Styela clava: one gene and its partner. The protein of the gene in region 2 purifies or fractionates together with the protein of the main gene of each other region. This does not show direct contact. Links are inferred from orthologs where the notes say so. Each region holds a gene or a part of one and is shown on either strand. Other genes may lie near its edges.

What was found. Proteins that work in one complex are often made in the same cells at the same time.
Region 1: the proteins of leucine zipper transcription factor-like protein 1 (region 2) and BBSome complex member BBS7-like purify together in Homo sapiens (affinity purification with mass spectrometry; 3 studies listed by BioGRID and IntAct, counting the BioPlex papers as one, with this or other methods). This does not show direct contact. The link is inferred for Styela clava from reciprocal best matches to the Homo sapiens genes LZTFL1 and BBS7.

The regions. Positions count from the first base shown.
Region 1 is NC_135263.1:9,596,770-9,604,794, reverse strand, and holds the start of BBSome complex member BBS7-like, read right to left. Parts: upstream 3,255-8,025; 5' UTR 3,134-3,254; coding exon 3,098-3,133; intron 2,850-3,097; coding exon 2,715-2,849; intron 2,645-2,714; coding exon 2,469-2,644; intron 1,877-2,468; coding exon 1,684-1,876; intron 1,045-1,683; coding exon 905-1,044; intron 357-904; coding exon 176-356; intron 1-175. Other genes in the region: coiled-coil domain-containing protein 166-like, read right to left, coding at 3,809-4,696; NADPH-dependent diflavin oxidoreductase 1-like, read right to left, coding at 7,100-7,244, 7,317-7,530, 8,006-8,025.
Region 2 is NC_135252.1:24,401,562-24,409,814, reverse strand, and holds the start of leucine zipper transcription factor-like protein 1, read right to left. Parts: upstream 3,106-8,253; 5' UTR 3,095-3,105; intron 485-3,094; exon of another isoform or gene 445-484; coding exon of another isoform or gene 375-444; intron 141-374; coding exon of another isoform or gene 82-140; intron 1-81. Other genes in the region: uncharacterized protein LOC120343336, read right to left, coding at 82-140, 375-444. UniProt on the Homo sapiens protein: Regulates ciliary localization of the BBSome complex. Together with the BBSome complex, controls SMO ciliary trafficking and contributes to the sonic hedgehog (SHH) pathway regulation. May play a role in neurite outgrowth. May have tumor suppressor function.

The sequences.
Region 1 (8,025 bases), on a different chromosome or scaffold from region 2:
AATGTCTATTTATGTAATTTGATCATATCATGGCCATGTACAACAAGCAGCCAGTGGGTAATACCTAACGAAATCTAAGGAGTTGCATATCACATATTACTTTTCATAGTATCATGTCGATATCAAGTTTCTGGCAATTTGTGAATTTAGTTGAGTCAAGCAAGTGTGTACTCACATGAGAATATCTTAACGTTGGTTCTTCGCCAATATCATAACTATAAACTTCTACTGTACCATCTTCTCTTCCCACCAAAAGATCAGGCGTTCCGTTCCCAGTCATATCATGATGTGCCAAGCAGGATACCCCACCTAAATTTCTATCATTAGGTAGCTCCCATGTATGATTGGGTTCATCCCTATCAATAAAATGTAAAAGATTAATTTTTCTTGATTTTGATGTCTGCTTGATATTTGATTTAATCATGGTTTTGTTTGATTTCGTACGAACATTTTTTCACTTGATCTGTAAAATCATTCTTCAAACTAGAACACACAGAGTGATATTTTGAGGTTGGGATAAGAATAAATGTTTTAATATATTGTCTATAGACCATTCAGGTCAGACAGGATGATAAATTAGCACGTAAACGGTCAATATACAGAATATACTCAGATGGAAAGTAGACAGAAGCTAATTGGTATAATATTTTTACCTTGACATTCAAGTGATTGCTCAAAGCCTTGGCCGGACAATGCTGGTATAAATTTAAAACCGGGGTACTGGGGTACAAAAGGGTTAAATCTTAGCACTACATAACCCCCACCTGAAATAAGCGTCCTTGGGAGGACTGGGCGACTTTCTAAACAACCTCGTAATAATTTTAAATTTAAACTGATCAAAATAGTGGTTTTATGATATATGGTCATTTGATAGACCCTAGCAACAGCTCTCAGCTCTACATACCTGCCAACGACAATATGGCCAATCGTTCCATCTACAGTCCCATATATTATTTCATTTCCCTCTTCACCTGCGTTACCAAGGTAAGGAACTATGCATTGTGGAACACCAGCTACTTCAATTTCATATCGTAGCTCAGTGCCCTGTATAAAGATTTATTTAGAAATTATACAATGAAATTAAGCTAGGGAGCTTTATGTAGAGGTCTAGACAAAATAGGTGGAGAATAGCAAAAGTAATCAATTCCAAAGTGGACAGATAGACAATATAATAATATCGAGGATGGTTATTTAACATCACCTATATTTTGATCAGATGAAACCATAAGATACTGTGAACATATGTATTGCTGAGGAATGTTCTGCAATTTGATCCATGCTATTTAATGCTTTGTGCTAGATAATTTATCTGAAACTTGTTTATCTGAAACTTAATTTATCAAAGCACATCATAAATATTTGATGCCAATAGGTATTTGAGAATCAATAATATGTGGGTGGCTGATAGCTGGTAAGTTATTGCTCTATTTACTATCAAGTCCATGCATCTGAAACAAATAACTGGTTATTTATTCCTTTATCGACATGAACTGGTAACGGGACGTAGGACGTAGTTCGCCATATGATTAAGTTTTGTTATTAAATTTCCTATTCATGGGATAAATATGAAAATTCTAAGCTATATTCAAGATGCTGAGTTGAGATTTAAGATTCAAGTTGATAAACAAAAAATATCCAAAGCACACATTTTTTATTATCGTCAAACTTGTAAGATCATCTTACATCAAGAACACGAAGTAATCTGTCATTGCAAGCTAGAATTGGTGTGAAATTGTCGCCTTCTTTTCGAAGTACAGGAATACATATGATATCATTTATTTTATCGCTGCTCAGATAATATCCTTTGTCAATGCAATCACAAAAATGATTGTAAATATATTCTCCTGCAATGAGAAGGTCACTTCCGCTCACACAACTAGAAATGAAATTGAAAATAATTAAATCATAAAAAGAAACACGAGGTTTTCTATACATTTTATCTAAACAAGGCATTTTATAAGCACCATAAAGATATTTCTGGTCTTGCAATGACAGGGTGAAGAGGATTTAGAACTGAACAAAGACCTGAAAATCTTTGGCCTGTGATATCATGATAGCCAAGACGCCACATCAGGCAATTATTTCTGTATATAAATGTGATTTTGCTTTAGTCACTCAGGTGATCTTACTTTGTAATATTTTATACAAAAATATGTAGCAAAATTTTGCAAAGAACATTTATATCATAGCTACAATAGAGCATAAAAGTTCGATAAAATCAAATTCTATATCATACAGAAACTATCCCTTAGATATACAGGGTGACCCAAAACACAGAACCCATAAATCGCAACAATTACGGTAATTAAAACATTATTTAACATTTGAAATTCTTTTTGTGTATGATTCTACCAAAAAGTTTTACTAATCTAGGATGCTTCACACAAAAGTTATGTTCCCTCCAGAATATGTTTTAACTGATCTAGATTTTGTATTTTGGGTCACTCAGTTAACATTTATTATCTTACATGCACTTTATGTTTTCTGTAATATTTGTGTCAAATCCTAGAAACTTTTTTCCTTTTCTTGAGTAGCCGTGCACAACAGAACCAGATGCAACAAATATTTTATCTTGCGGAGTTCCTAATGCACCACCCAAATCCAGAAAATTGTTTGGTTCTCCTGGCAAAGTCTTGAAAACATTCTGAAAAATGAGATTTTACCATAAAAAATTGTTTATTTTGCAATCCGAAGATAATAAATAAATTATTTACAGAAATATCTCTTTTTTTCGATCCAAAACAAGTAACAACCCCGCTCTTGTCCGCAACTACAACTTTCTGCAAAATTCTTTTTGATTTTTCATTGTTGGGTAAAACTTTCATGCAATTTTTTCCGGTAACTGCGACCTGTGATATGAAAAAACATATAGTATTGACAATGACAAGTATAAATTTATCTGGTATTTTGACATCATAAATGGAATTTTATCTAAATTAAGCCGAGATGATTCTCTGTCAAATACAACTGTTAATAGTCAGTGCCCAGAACATAAGAGCATAGTTCAATGCAATAAGCTCACAGCATAGAGGTTAGCTTACAAGGACTATGTCGATGTTACAGCTTGAGTAATACTATAAGCAAAATAAAAAAATACCTGCAAGTAATCCACCCTGTGAAGATCCAAATCCATGTGTGAAAAATATTCTAATAAATTATTTATACACTATAAAAATACAGCGAAGTTGTCATAAATTGATAGATACAGTGAGTGATATAAACTGGAATTATAGGAAGCTTTAAATGATACAAGCATGTAATGAAACTAAAACAAAATAAGTTGACAGTGAAATACATAAATACTGGGAATATTTGAAAATGACTTGAAACTGAAATAAGTATGAGTATATATATATAAGCCTTAGAAATCTTATAATGCCATACTATAGAACAAACACTAAAGAGAACATGGAGACATAAAATTTAAAAATTATACTGTATCAATGCCTAGGTTTTGTTCCCTAAATTATAAAAATATATCGAAAACTATTGAATAGTTGTGTTCTACTGATTGAATGCAACAAAAAGTTATCACAGAATATCACAATGAATTTATTTCGCCACAAAATTACAGTAAAGAAACTGAATTGGATTTCAACAATAAAGTTGTTATAAACACTGAGAATAATGATAAATGGAACCACAAAAAAAAATTCTGGGTTAAATTAAAAAGAGTATTTAGCTATCAATGATATATGAAACAATCTTTTAATTACAGAATGTGACAATTTCCCTATATTTAATAATAAATTTCAACTAGCGGTTTTCAAAATATCTCAATATGAAGTTTTTGCTAACGATTTGGAATTCATTGTTTTTCTTGTTCTTCTCTTTCCATTTGTGCCAGAGCTTTCTTTTGTCTCACGCCACGTAGTTTACGAATATCTTCACTGTACTGTTGTTCTCGTTGTAGCTGCTTTTTCTGTTCTTCCAATTCTTGTTTATGCTGATTTAAAACCTGACTTCTTCTGATTAAATTAAGAAGTTCCGCTCTGAGTTGTCGATTTTCATACTTTATATTTGTTGTATGTTCGTTCAAACATTGAACAGCTTTTTTGTTAGCTTCCAGAGCTAATGCTTGAATTTTATTTTCACTCTCTTCAGTATATTCTGCCTTTTCCTGCAAAAATTTTGCTTTCAGCTGTTGAATTGTGTCCGAATGTTTTCCACGCATGTGTAGAACTTCACGCTCGAGTTGCTTTATTTTTTTCAACTGATCTTCACGAAGTTCTCGATATTCACCTAAATCTTGAAACTCTTTTCTCGCTTTTGTGAGTAAACTTTCTTTTTCCAAAAGAGTTGCTTTTAACTTATTCTTTTTCTCTTCATAATCCGATAACATTTGTTCTTTTTGAGAATTTATTTTTTCAAGTTCCTTCTGGTTTTGATCGCTTAAAGACACAATTGTTGTTTGACGTTTATGTGTCTTTTTTGCCATGTATGACATGTATTCATGGCTTTCAATTCTGGTATGTTGAGCTTCTTGTTGTAATACTTCATTTTCTTTTCTGAGTTCCTCTGACTGCTTTTTAAGTCTTTCTAAATCGTTAGTCAAATGATTCAGTTCTTTTTTTAAATAAACTTCTCTGTCAGTAGGACCTGTAGGCTCCTTAGCGTTTTCTGCATCATCAGCAGGTGCTTCATCTGCAGCTGCCTTTTTGCCCTTCTTTTTTCCACCTTTCTTTTTGGGCGGCATATTATGTTATCTTAGTTCTGAAAATAAATTATACATTGATTTATTATGTTATGAGAGTATGATAAGTAGCCTGATAAATATTTCAGTGCATTTTATATCCCGATGCACTGATAACTGTATGGAATATTTGAAAATAGCGGCATCAATATTCCTTACACCTCCAGACCTCAGTAAGCCTATATTAAAAAATTTAATATTCAAATGTTTTGAGATCATTTACCATAGTACAGTAGTAGGTTAGTATACTAGTATGTTTTATGTTATAACATTATGATAGGCTATACATCCACCAATGACTTGTGGGTCACAAAGCGACAGTGAAGAATTAACGAAAAGAGCATAAGACTTCGAACTATATACTACTCTGCAGTTTATAATTCACGCATACAATGCCTTCAAGAAAACAAAATTTTATTGACCTAATTTACAAACATAGCAATCTGAAATAAAAACTGAACAGGATGGATTTATGTGATTGGATTAAAAATTATAATTCTCCTAGAGTTGAAATCCTTTGCAAAATCTTTTCAATCCCATAAGACGATTTGCTGTAGTATTACTGCATTGTAAACGATTTTCGATTAATTTATACACATGCGAATCCATGTTTTTATAAATCAATGTCATAAACTAGAGTACCATAAATCACCACTAACTTCTGAACTTATAACTATACCTATAAATGTGGCATGTGTGAAGCTCAAAGATACACAATACAAACCAAGGATTATAAAACTTGTGAAAAAGATGAAACATCATGTTTATAATTTTGCGAGCTTCAATGAATATCTATGACCCACTGTCTTTTTCCCCAGTTTCCACAATCCAGCAATCACTGAATCATGCAATAAAAAAATGATGATTGGCTCATTCATGAAATACAGAAATAAGGTTCGCCACCAATGATATAGGTTTATGTCCACCTTACTGGGTCACAACCTATCGAGGTTGCTCAACTTTTGAACTATTAATAAGACTTGAATGGTCAAAATTGTAAATTGCATAATGGAAAAACACAGAAACACCGCGGTTGGACGTGTCGGTTAACGTCCTCGTGCCACAGTTTGCAGAGAATCGTTGACGCTGAAATCTGAAAATTGCGTTAGAACGTCCTACTGTCCTGTCTGGATATCAATTTTGATGTGAAAAAGCGCGCTACACGAGCAGTTAAGTCTGCTTGTATTTCATAATTTACAAACAGTTGTGGTAATGAACGTCAGGGCGTAACGAAAATTAGGCAAAAAATGAAAAGCGATGTTGGTTTGTTTTCTGCCGAAATATTTCAAATTTTATGCTTGGATGAGCAAAACCTTGGTTACATCATACGCATGATTGATTTCGAACGGTAAGTACGTCAATTTAAATTATTGTGACTTTCTTGACATGAATAAAACAACAAAAAAATACAGTCATACGAAACTGAGAGTAATCCTAGTACGAGTACCGGTATACCGTAACTAACACCAACGTAAGCAACGTTCAAGCACGCGGCCACTCACCAACTAGACAGTATCGTTTTATTTTCCCATTAATCAATAATGAAAGAATGTTGCGCACCCTGTTTTTACCTAAAATTTACAGGGGTGAGCTAGAACTTTCGGTTGCAAATGAAATTGTTCGAACTGGCTTGAGCCACAAATCTGATCCTAATTCGAAAACAGCAGGCAACATCATTGCTCATCATCTTAAAATGGCCTCAATGTCATTCCACCAGGAGCCCAACTACACAAAAAGTTAGTGGCCAGCTGATAAACTTCCATCAAAACGTACATCTGAGATGGCTGCATTATCGCTATATTCGGATAACTTCTAACAGAAACAACTTGCTGAGGAATCAATAAGATATTGTGGATATACTTTACAATATTATTACACCTTTGTTCACAAACAGTTGCTTATTTTGAAAACAGACAAAAATGATAAATCATCATATGATGATTAATTAATTTGCTAAAAGCATCATTAACATCACGGAAAACGGATCGCTATATTCAAATAACTTCCCAACAGAAACATCTGGTTTTATATGGTCGGATGAACACATCTATCAAATAATGTACCGTATCTGCTTTCTAATATTATAACCCCTTCGTGCACAGACAGTTGTTCACAAACAGTTGCTTATTTTGAAAACAGACAAAAATGATAAAATTATCATATGATGATTTATTAATTTGCTAAAAGCATCATTAACATCACCGAAAATGGATCGCTATATTCAAATAACTTCCCAACAGAAACATCTGGTTTTATATGGTCGGATGAACACATCTATCAAAAAATGTACGGTATATGCTTTCTAATATTATTACACCTTCGTGCACAGACAGTTGTTCACAATAAAAACAGGCAAAAATGATAAAATTGATTTATTAATTTGCTAAAAGTACGCATTAAGATGTGTCAAGACCATGTTTCTTGTTGATATTTTTTATTTTTCTGCATAGTTTCATAAAATTCAAATGCTTCTTTTTCGGTCATCTCTCCAAATTCTTTAAAAATCTTCAAGAAAGCATCTCGGACACTATCCGGCATGTTTTTTGAATTCCTAAACATAATAGAGATAAGATAAATTGATACTGACTAAAACAATGATTAACTTATAATAGAGAATACCTACCCTGCTACATAGATATTTCCATTGCATTTACTAATAATATCCCACAGTAATTGACCATGTTCCGCTATCCTGTGCTGAACATAAATTTTTTCATCTTGATCTCTTGAAAATGCAGTGAATAATTGCAGACATCTATCTTGAATCAAACTATTCCACTCTTCTTGAAAATAAAAATCAGCATCCTTATTCCGACATCCAAAAAAGAGAACATTTCCTGAAAAAGGGAATTTTACATGCAATGCAATTACGTATTTCAGAAATTTTCAGTCTAAACCAACCTATAAACCAGTGCTTCTCCACCTTTTATAGTTGTGGAACCGCGATATGCTATTGGGCTCATCACAGAACCTTTACTAACAATTATCCAAAACAGCCATAAACATATAAGTCAAATTTTTCAGTGTTGGACACTCTGACAACGAAAAGTCATCACAGAAGATAAAATGGCTCAATGTTGCTCAATGAAATATTTATACATATCTACACTATTCGAACGACTTCTGGTTTTATTCTTTATAGTTGGTAAACTAATAGATATTGGAAAATTGACACAGAGAGAAACCACAACTCGAAGAGAAACCCCAACCGGACACTACAGAATTCTCAGAACTCACCTAACCCCAGTTGAAAAGCACTGATATAAGCCAATTACAGTATCAACAGTGGGCACTGTGTTCAAAATCACCCACCTTTCTCTTCATTGCATACT
Region 2 (8,253 bases):
ATAACAGTGATTTCTATCCAAAGCCTTGCTCAGATTCAAATAGTAAATAATAAAAAAAAAAGATAAAAACTTAAATCTTACCTTGCAATCTCCAACCTGGACAAGTTTTCCATTCACGATTTTGGAAACGCAGGCTCCAGCTGACGAAAAAAATAGGAAATGGAATATAACGAAATCTTGGGCGAAAAGTTATGGGTACCACGTTCCGGTGTCCGCCATCTTGGTTCAAATATTTTGGGAGTACCGAATTATAGGCGTTGAGAGTGATATCTCTCTATAAAAATTAAGGAATCTTTAATATTTCACAATCGTGGTACCAGAAGCCAGCGGTGGAAAAAAGTGTATCAAGTAATTGTGTCCGAAACAAATCTTACCCGGTACTTTTAGTTCCGCAAATAAGCCACAGATGAGAGAGATGAACAAAATAATTTTAAGAAAGTCCATGTTTGCTTTTAGAAAGGTTTGATGACACAGCTAAATGCTTAGATATAAAGTAAATAACTGTAAAAATATTTAAGGTTATTGCAGGATTAGTACCGTCATAATTAGCTGTTTTAATTGGCATTTTCGAGTAAGTTTTGTGGAAAAAATGCAGTAATATAAAATAATATTTGAGTAGAGGCTATGAGGCAGACTATTAGTTGAGGCACAACTCAAACAATTTAGAGTCAAATATAGCTTTAAGGTTTATCATTTTGATTTACACGGCTCGTGAATTTGAATGACCCTGCTTGACATGCGCATGATCCAACAAACTAGCCTGAACGAACAAAAAATATAAAACATACATTGCCATTCTGACGACTATAAGCTACCTTGGCAATATTTACCCAAAACTTAGACAATCCTGTCACTACAGTATTTAATTTATAATTTCTAGTCGTCATACCTCAAGTCGTTCATGTGATACAGGACATCGAGAGATCTATGTTTACGCATCTTATCGTTGTTGTCTTCTACATAAAACGCCCTTCTCATGCAGCAACCATATAGGTCATTTCCTATTCCCATATCGAAATTTTTCGCGGACGAAAATTTATCCTGAGTCATCCATTGTGATTGTACAGGAAAAATCCAGTTAGCGTTATCGCCGTGCATTTTATGGGACATCGGAATTTTCTCGTTTTGCGTGATTTTCCAGTGCTTCATTTGTTGCGTAATTCGTGAGGATATCAGCATAAGATGTGCCCTTGCAAAAGATCAAGACAAAATAACCACCCAGTTTAGCCTCCACACAATTGAAGGAAGGTACCTTTATGACGTCCGCCAATGAAATACCTAGATGTGTAGATGTTTCATAAATTTATTTTAATTTTTAGGTTAATCTGCAAAAAAGCTGTGTTCTGAGCAAAGATGTGTTGCCTCTCACGAAAACAATTTCTAAATTAATCAATTTTAAATAACCTTTTACCCAAGAAAAATCCGAAATGCGAGTGGTGGCGATTTAAAATATAAAGTAACTATTTGTCGTTCACAAGCCTTGAAGCCCAGGTTCCCATTTCTGTAAAGATAAATAGTCCTTGTGAAGATGCTGCTTTCTACTTATTCGATATCTGTTGCAGCATGTCAATCCTGGTACGAGATCTATTGGCAGGGTGGCCAACCCGCGGCTCGCGAGTCCCATGTGGCTCTTTTCGCCTTGGTTATTCTAAGAAGAAACTTGCTGACTACGATTCATCACGTTTCGATGGTCATATTTATGAATCATAGTTCATTCTTCTTTTAAGTCGCTTAAAAGCGAGCGCTTTCTTCATTCAGTTCACCATGCAATCGACCATTATCACGCCATAATAGTATTAGTTGGTGTGAGAATCGTTTATTGAACTGCAACGGCTGTCGTACTCGTATAGGAAACGAAGACCGGCGGCAACCGCGTAGCTTACCATTTGACGGAAGTAATCGAAATGCAGAAAAAACGTTTCGTCCTTGCTAGGGTAGCAAAGTTGGGGGTAAAATATTTATCTCATATCACTACTGGTAACTCTGAAGAGGTATCATCTGAATTCAAATGTAAGTAGTTGAATATAACAGTATTTTATTTCTGTAGTTTTAGGGTCAGTTTATCAAATAGGACATGCGGACCGAGCATAAAAATGGGAAGGCTCGAACTTCGTGAACTAGTTGTCTTTGTATTAGTATATTTAAACAATTTGTGTTCGCTCTGAAAATGGTAGGAAAGAAAATATGAAGATGAACGCCGGACCTTTTTAACAGAGTGGGAGAGCATATATCTTTCGTTGTACGTAATGGCAAACCATTCTGCCTTATATGTCAGCCATCGCTAGCGCATTTCAAATCCTCAATCCTCAGCGCCACCTCACTCCATGATAACATGACCATGAATTTCCGAAGGGTAATCAATTTGATAAGTCAAGCTGAAAAGCAGAAACTGTTTTCCATAATTTCATAAAGCACTCAGACACTGTGGCGCTTGCATCGTGTCGCATTAGAGCTGTGACATAGAAGACAAGCCTGAATTGGGAATATTCGGAAGATCTGTTTCAAAAGATTGTTCAATCAAGAAAGAACTTATTGATATCGTGACATTAAAAGACAGGACCCGTGGCATAGATGTGAAAAGCAATATTGGCTACATTTGAAAAAGCAAATCTGCCCATATCAAAAATAGCAGCAATAAACACGGATGGTGCGCCAGTAAGAATCGGATGTGTGAACAGACTCGTGGGGCTGTATCATTATTACTGTATCATTCACAGGGAGCAACTCGTGTCTAACTCGTTGAATTTGGACAACGTCACGAAGACTATAATAACAAGAGAGCTGTGCTCAAATATATGGACACGTCACAACGTGTCGCTATTTTTTATTCCGACACATAAAAAAACGAATCTCTTGAAGTCCACAGAAATTTTTAAGTAATTTAGAAAATACCCTTCTGGCAAAAAAATCAATCTTTAATCACTGAAAATTGGTCCAGTATTCGAAGAGAAAAGCGATTTCATCATGACGAAAGAGAATAATAATACTAACAAAAACAACAACATAATATTGAAACGATCGTTATGTACACTGACGTGTCCAAAAATCGTTAAATGCAGATAAGAACATCTGCACGCATGCGCTCAACCACCGGCAATTCAGCAATCCGATTACTGAGCTGGATCAAGGGCTTTCGGGTGACCTGTGAAGCTGTTCATGGAAGAGAACTATCCCGAGCGCTCGGACCTCGAGTGGATTATGGATCTGGACTTTCACTTGAACAGACTGAACCTGAATTTGCAGGGCAAGTTAAAAAATCTGCCCGACATAGTGCAATGTGTGTTCTCGTTTGTTAATAAACTGAAGCTGTTCAAGGCGCATATTCCAGGAAGAAAGTTAACCAATTTTCCCACTCTGCTAAATGCCAGCGGGCAAAACACTATCGACTCATTTAATCCTGGAACGGGTTGTTTAAAATTCTCTCCAGTCTCAGATGAGCCTGCGACTGAGTTGGAAATGATCGATCTTCATGAGGAGGGCCAACTGAAATGGACTTTATCGAGTTATAAAAATGCATGCAAATATAAAAATACCCCAATGTCAAACGAGCTGGGCAAAGGCTATTGTCAATGTTTGGGCCTACATACGTCTACGAATCTGTCTTTTCTACCTTAAAACACGTGAAAATACAAATACAAGCCGCGATACGTTCTGACTGGCATCCTTGTGAAAGAACTGCTTCTATTGACAACAACAAAATACAAGCCAGATTTAATGAAGATTGTTCAATCCAAGGAATGCCAGAAGTCCCACTAAGTATCATGCATAACAATGAATGGCTTGTAAATTACAGTCATAATCATTGTTATCGCCAATATCTTGAAATATTAATATTTCTCCCGCAAGTTGGCGCCATGGACCAGCTCATCGAATGCTTGGCTATTGCACCACAATGACTTTGTGGAAGTGACGTCAGGGGACTGCGCACGCTGCAGGGTTCTGGAAGCTGCAGACGTCTGTCTGAGAGTGGTATTTTAGGGTTTATAATTGAATAATTAGTGAACGACTTAGGCTTGTAGTGATAGATATATGTAGGGTATTTATTTGTACTGCTAATAATGGTGTATTATTGATATTCCTCACAGTTGTCATTGTAATATTGCTAAGTAATTCAGTCAAGATATTGTGATTTAATGTTCAAGTTACTGCTTGACAACCCTTGAGGACACAACGTCAAGTGAGTTTATACGTACAGTTTTATATTCTAAGTTGTACATGGTCTGTATTTGTTTTCCTGTCAGGCCTTGAAAATGCCGGCTGAGGTAATTTGTTTGTTTATTTATTATAACCGTTAGTGATGCCATAATTGGTCATTAGGTGATTGTGTGACATAATAAAGATAATTAAGGTTTGTTTACAATAATATAGGCCTACTGATACGATACTGCCCCGATCTTGTTTTTTAATATTTGTGTATTTATTATTTTCATAGTATTTCAGAAAACCGTACTACTGTATTGTTGTTCGCACTTTATTGTTCGTACTACGTTGTCTGTTCGTATTGGTTTACACTGTTTGCAACACATCACAAGAAAATAAAACATCTTATGCTGATACAGTGATAGTACGTGTCTTTTTGGGAGTGCAACCTGGTCGTCAAGAGTATTGGTATTGGCCATCCGTACACCCTATGTGGGCAGAGTCCGCGCTCCACAATTAAGATTTAATCAAGGCTCTGCGCCAACAATCATGTTGGTTTGTGACATTTACAATAAACTAGCATTCTAGCAGAGCTGAATATGGGTATATTTAATGTTCATTATTGTCAGGGTAAGGTACTGCCGTCCAAAGAAGTATATAAGAGGAGGGAAGATAGGAATTTATAAGTTGAAGTCAAACATGGAAGAATAGTACAAATATGTCCACGGAAAGAGACGAAGAATTAAAAAGATAAAAGAAGTTATAAAAGATAACATACAAATATAAGGTCGTAAAAAAGCTACTAGACAAAATTGATGCCAGAGGGCGGCAAATAAGTTTGGTAATACAAGAAATAATTAGTACAGTACCGAAATGAACTGGACCGACTACGACAATACATTAAAATAGACATCATCTGGGATGGCTTTGGCTATTATCGTCATATCTCTGATCGCGATTGTGGCCCTGTTGGGTGGATGTGCCGGATAATGATAGAAATCGAGGACGGAGTGACTGAACCATATAGAGTTAGATTAAACAATATTGTTCCTCGTTATGAAGATATTTAATGTTATAAAAATATATTTCAGGCACAATGAGTTGGTATAATTGGATGAAACAAAGGTGGGCGTATGCAGAGAGTGCGACTGGAGCTAGTTATGAATTTATGCCGGATGCGATGGGTTATCATATAGAAATACAACAATTACGCATGAGAATAGATGAATCAGAGGGAGATATTGGGGATAAATAAGCGGGTGGAGTAAAAAGAGAGAGACAGATAGAGATACTTATAAGAAGAGTTAAAAATATTACGAATGCTAAAAAGGAAGAAGTGGCAGAGTTTCAAAAATTAAGAAACACAGTGCTGAGGAATGCGACGAAAAATGGGGAGAGTAGTGGAGGGATATTAAGTGATATAGCGGGGGGAATTCGAGGAAGATTCGTAGGAGCAAAAGGAGGTACACTTGCAGGAGAGGTAGGTGGAGGACTATCAGGGTTAGGAGGAGAATTGCCCAGCATAGGAGCAGATATTGCAACAACAGCGTTTGAAATATATCAAAAGCAGCAGCAGGTTCAGTGAAATAACATCAGACACGGTGAGAAGAAAGTTAACGCACGGAAACAATGACAAAATAGAAGATTATAGGAAAATGATATATAAAAAAAAATGGACTGGTAAAAAGACCGGCAATGGCAGTAGTCAGTAGATAACTTAGCCGGAGGAGGGAGAGGCTGAGACATTATATATAGATGTTCCCCCGAGCATCGAAGAACGTCGAGTTTATATTCGTAGCAATGACCAATGAGTATTTTCTTCTTTTGATCAGTGTCTCACATCCTAATCGCCCGTTTTTATATCGTGTCTTTATTTGACTGTTTTTAGTGTACGAGCACGTACTTGTACGTTTTGAACTTCTTCATTAAGTTATGCCTGTCCTCCAGGTCCTCTTGTTTGACCGTTTTTTGCCTTTTTTTTTTTTTTGAGTGACGAAAATAAAAGTGATTAATCGATTGATACTACCAGCTCGGTGATTAAACATTTGAGAACCTTTCATTAATGTATTAATGCTTAGTATTAATGCCGTGATTGGGAAAAGGAGTGTCGATGTTCTGGATGTGAATACTCAGCAAACTATTACGCAAATATTCGCTGAAAAACAGAAAATGAATCATCGCATCCCGCCTATGAAAGGATCACAAAGAAAATTGACGAAATGATTGGAGCGTATTTTGTTCCATATTTGATAGTCGAAAACGAACGATTTATACGACTAATTGCGGATTCGGAACCTAGTTACCAGGTGCCGCCACGCAGACATTTGACGAAATGGATAATTCCAGAGACTTACCAGAAAGTGAAAAACAAAACAAAAATTGTCGATGAACGAGGCGGTCGGGCCAATAACCGATATATGGTAGATATTTTGTTATTAGTGATAAACTATTTTCTAGGGGGTTGTTCACCGGGTGTAGGGAAATTGCTGATTGTGCACCAGGTAGATATGAACCCTGTTATGTCGCCGCGAGAGTGCGTAGATGTTTCGGTTCTGACGCTGGCATCTAATGGCTGTAGATTCGACATAAGGAGTGAACGAATGTTACGAGAAATGTTTATCGCATGAAGAGCTGTATGATGATCTCTACAAGAATCTTGGGCACCACAGAATCCTGGAAGAAAATGTGAAAGCCTGCGACATTAATGATGATGCCTCCAGCTTTATGATAATATCAAATCGAAGCTAAATTCAACGCAACTGGCACCTTGTGTCGCAGAACAGAGAATTTAAAAGATGCATGGAAAAAAATAAAAAATAAAGCCAAGCAAGACAACGCTCAGCGCAAACGACATTTAAAGCAGACTAGAAGTGGGCCTGGTGTGGCTTGCGATGAGCTAAAAGAGAAAGTTGAGGGTATGTTATCTGCATTTTTCACATAATTTACAGGATTCAAATTTTCTATGCCTTGAATGTTTGCAAAAACTCCCAAACAACTGCTGTCACAGCGGAAGCGTACAAGATTGGCAATTTAAGGAGATTAAAGAAAAATGACTTTGGAACTCCGCTGAAGACATTCTGAAAAATCAACAACAAAAAAAAAAACATTGAGAAAGTCGGGAGAATCAATTAGCGGTAGTCTTTGCCCATTTATCTTCCTGGGAAGTTCAATTCGACAAAAGTACTGGTATTACTTATGAAGTGAAACTATTATAAAGCAAGGCATTCGAATATGCTGTTTGAATTACAACAGTTCGGCGAACTGTTAGTACAGCATGAAATAGTGGGAATTATATTAATTGTTGAGATGAATATTATGAGATTTCCTTTACAGAATTACAATCGCCCGAAACAACCCTTGAACCACTCGTTGTTGTTTTTATTTGCAGAAAATCGGATACTCTGTAGGATGTGTACCAGGTTAGGGTTAGGCCATAATTTTATTCCGATTTTCCCTATTTTAGTTCTACCCCCAGTTCGGGGACTGTTTGTATTAGCCAAGTGAATATACTCCCTTCACATAAGCTTCCGTTCATTTACACAACTTGATGTAAAGTAGGCGAACGACATTTGTTACCTTCATATTGGCACACATACTTCTGGAGCGCCGAAAATCGTGTACAGAAAGCTTAGACTTGGTGGGTTTTGTAGAAAAACTAGCGAGCTTAGTTTCGGATACAAGTACGGTTGCTACTCGAGTATTGGCATTCTATCTGGCTTGGAATAAAGCAACAACATCAAGTAGACTTAACGAATCCGTCAGAACCATCAAAAGATTTAACAATGGAAGTGGACACAAACAACTACCGTGGTACAAAACAGCCGAAAGAACAAAATGGAGAAGCTGTGAATGGAAATCAAACATATGTATTAGCAAGTTTACATTCCCGGGATTTGATGAAGAAGGATTTACACTTAACTTGGACAGAGAGCGCAAATATGTCGTGGACTTTAAAGGACTACTCAATACTAACGCTCATGATGTATAATGGTGTGGCGACATCTATTTTGCCAATTAGGATTGTACCAACCATATTTTCGTTTACGTCCGCCTTGTGGATATATATATATATATATATATATATATATATATCTAATACGGTAGTTATGTAGA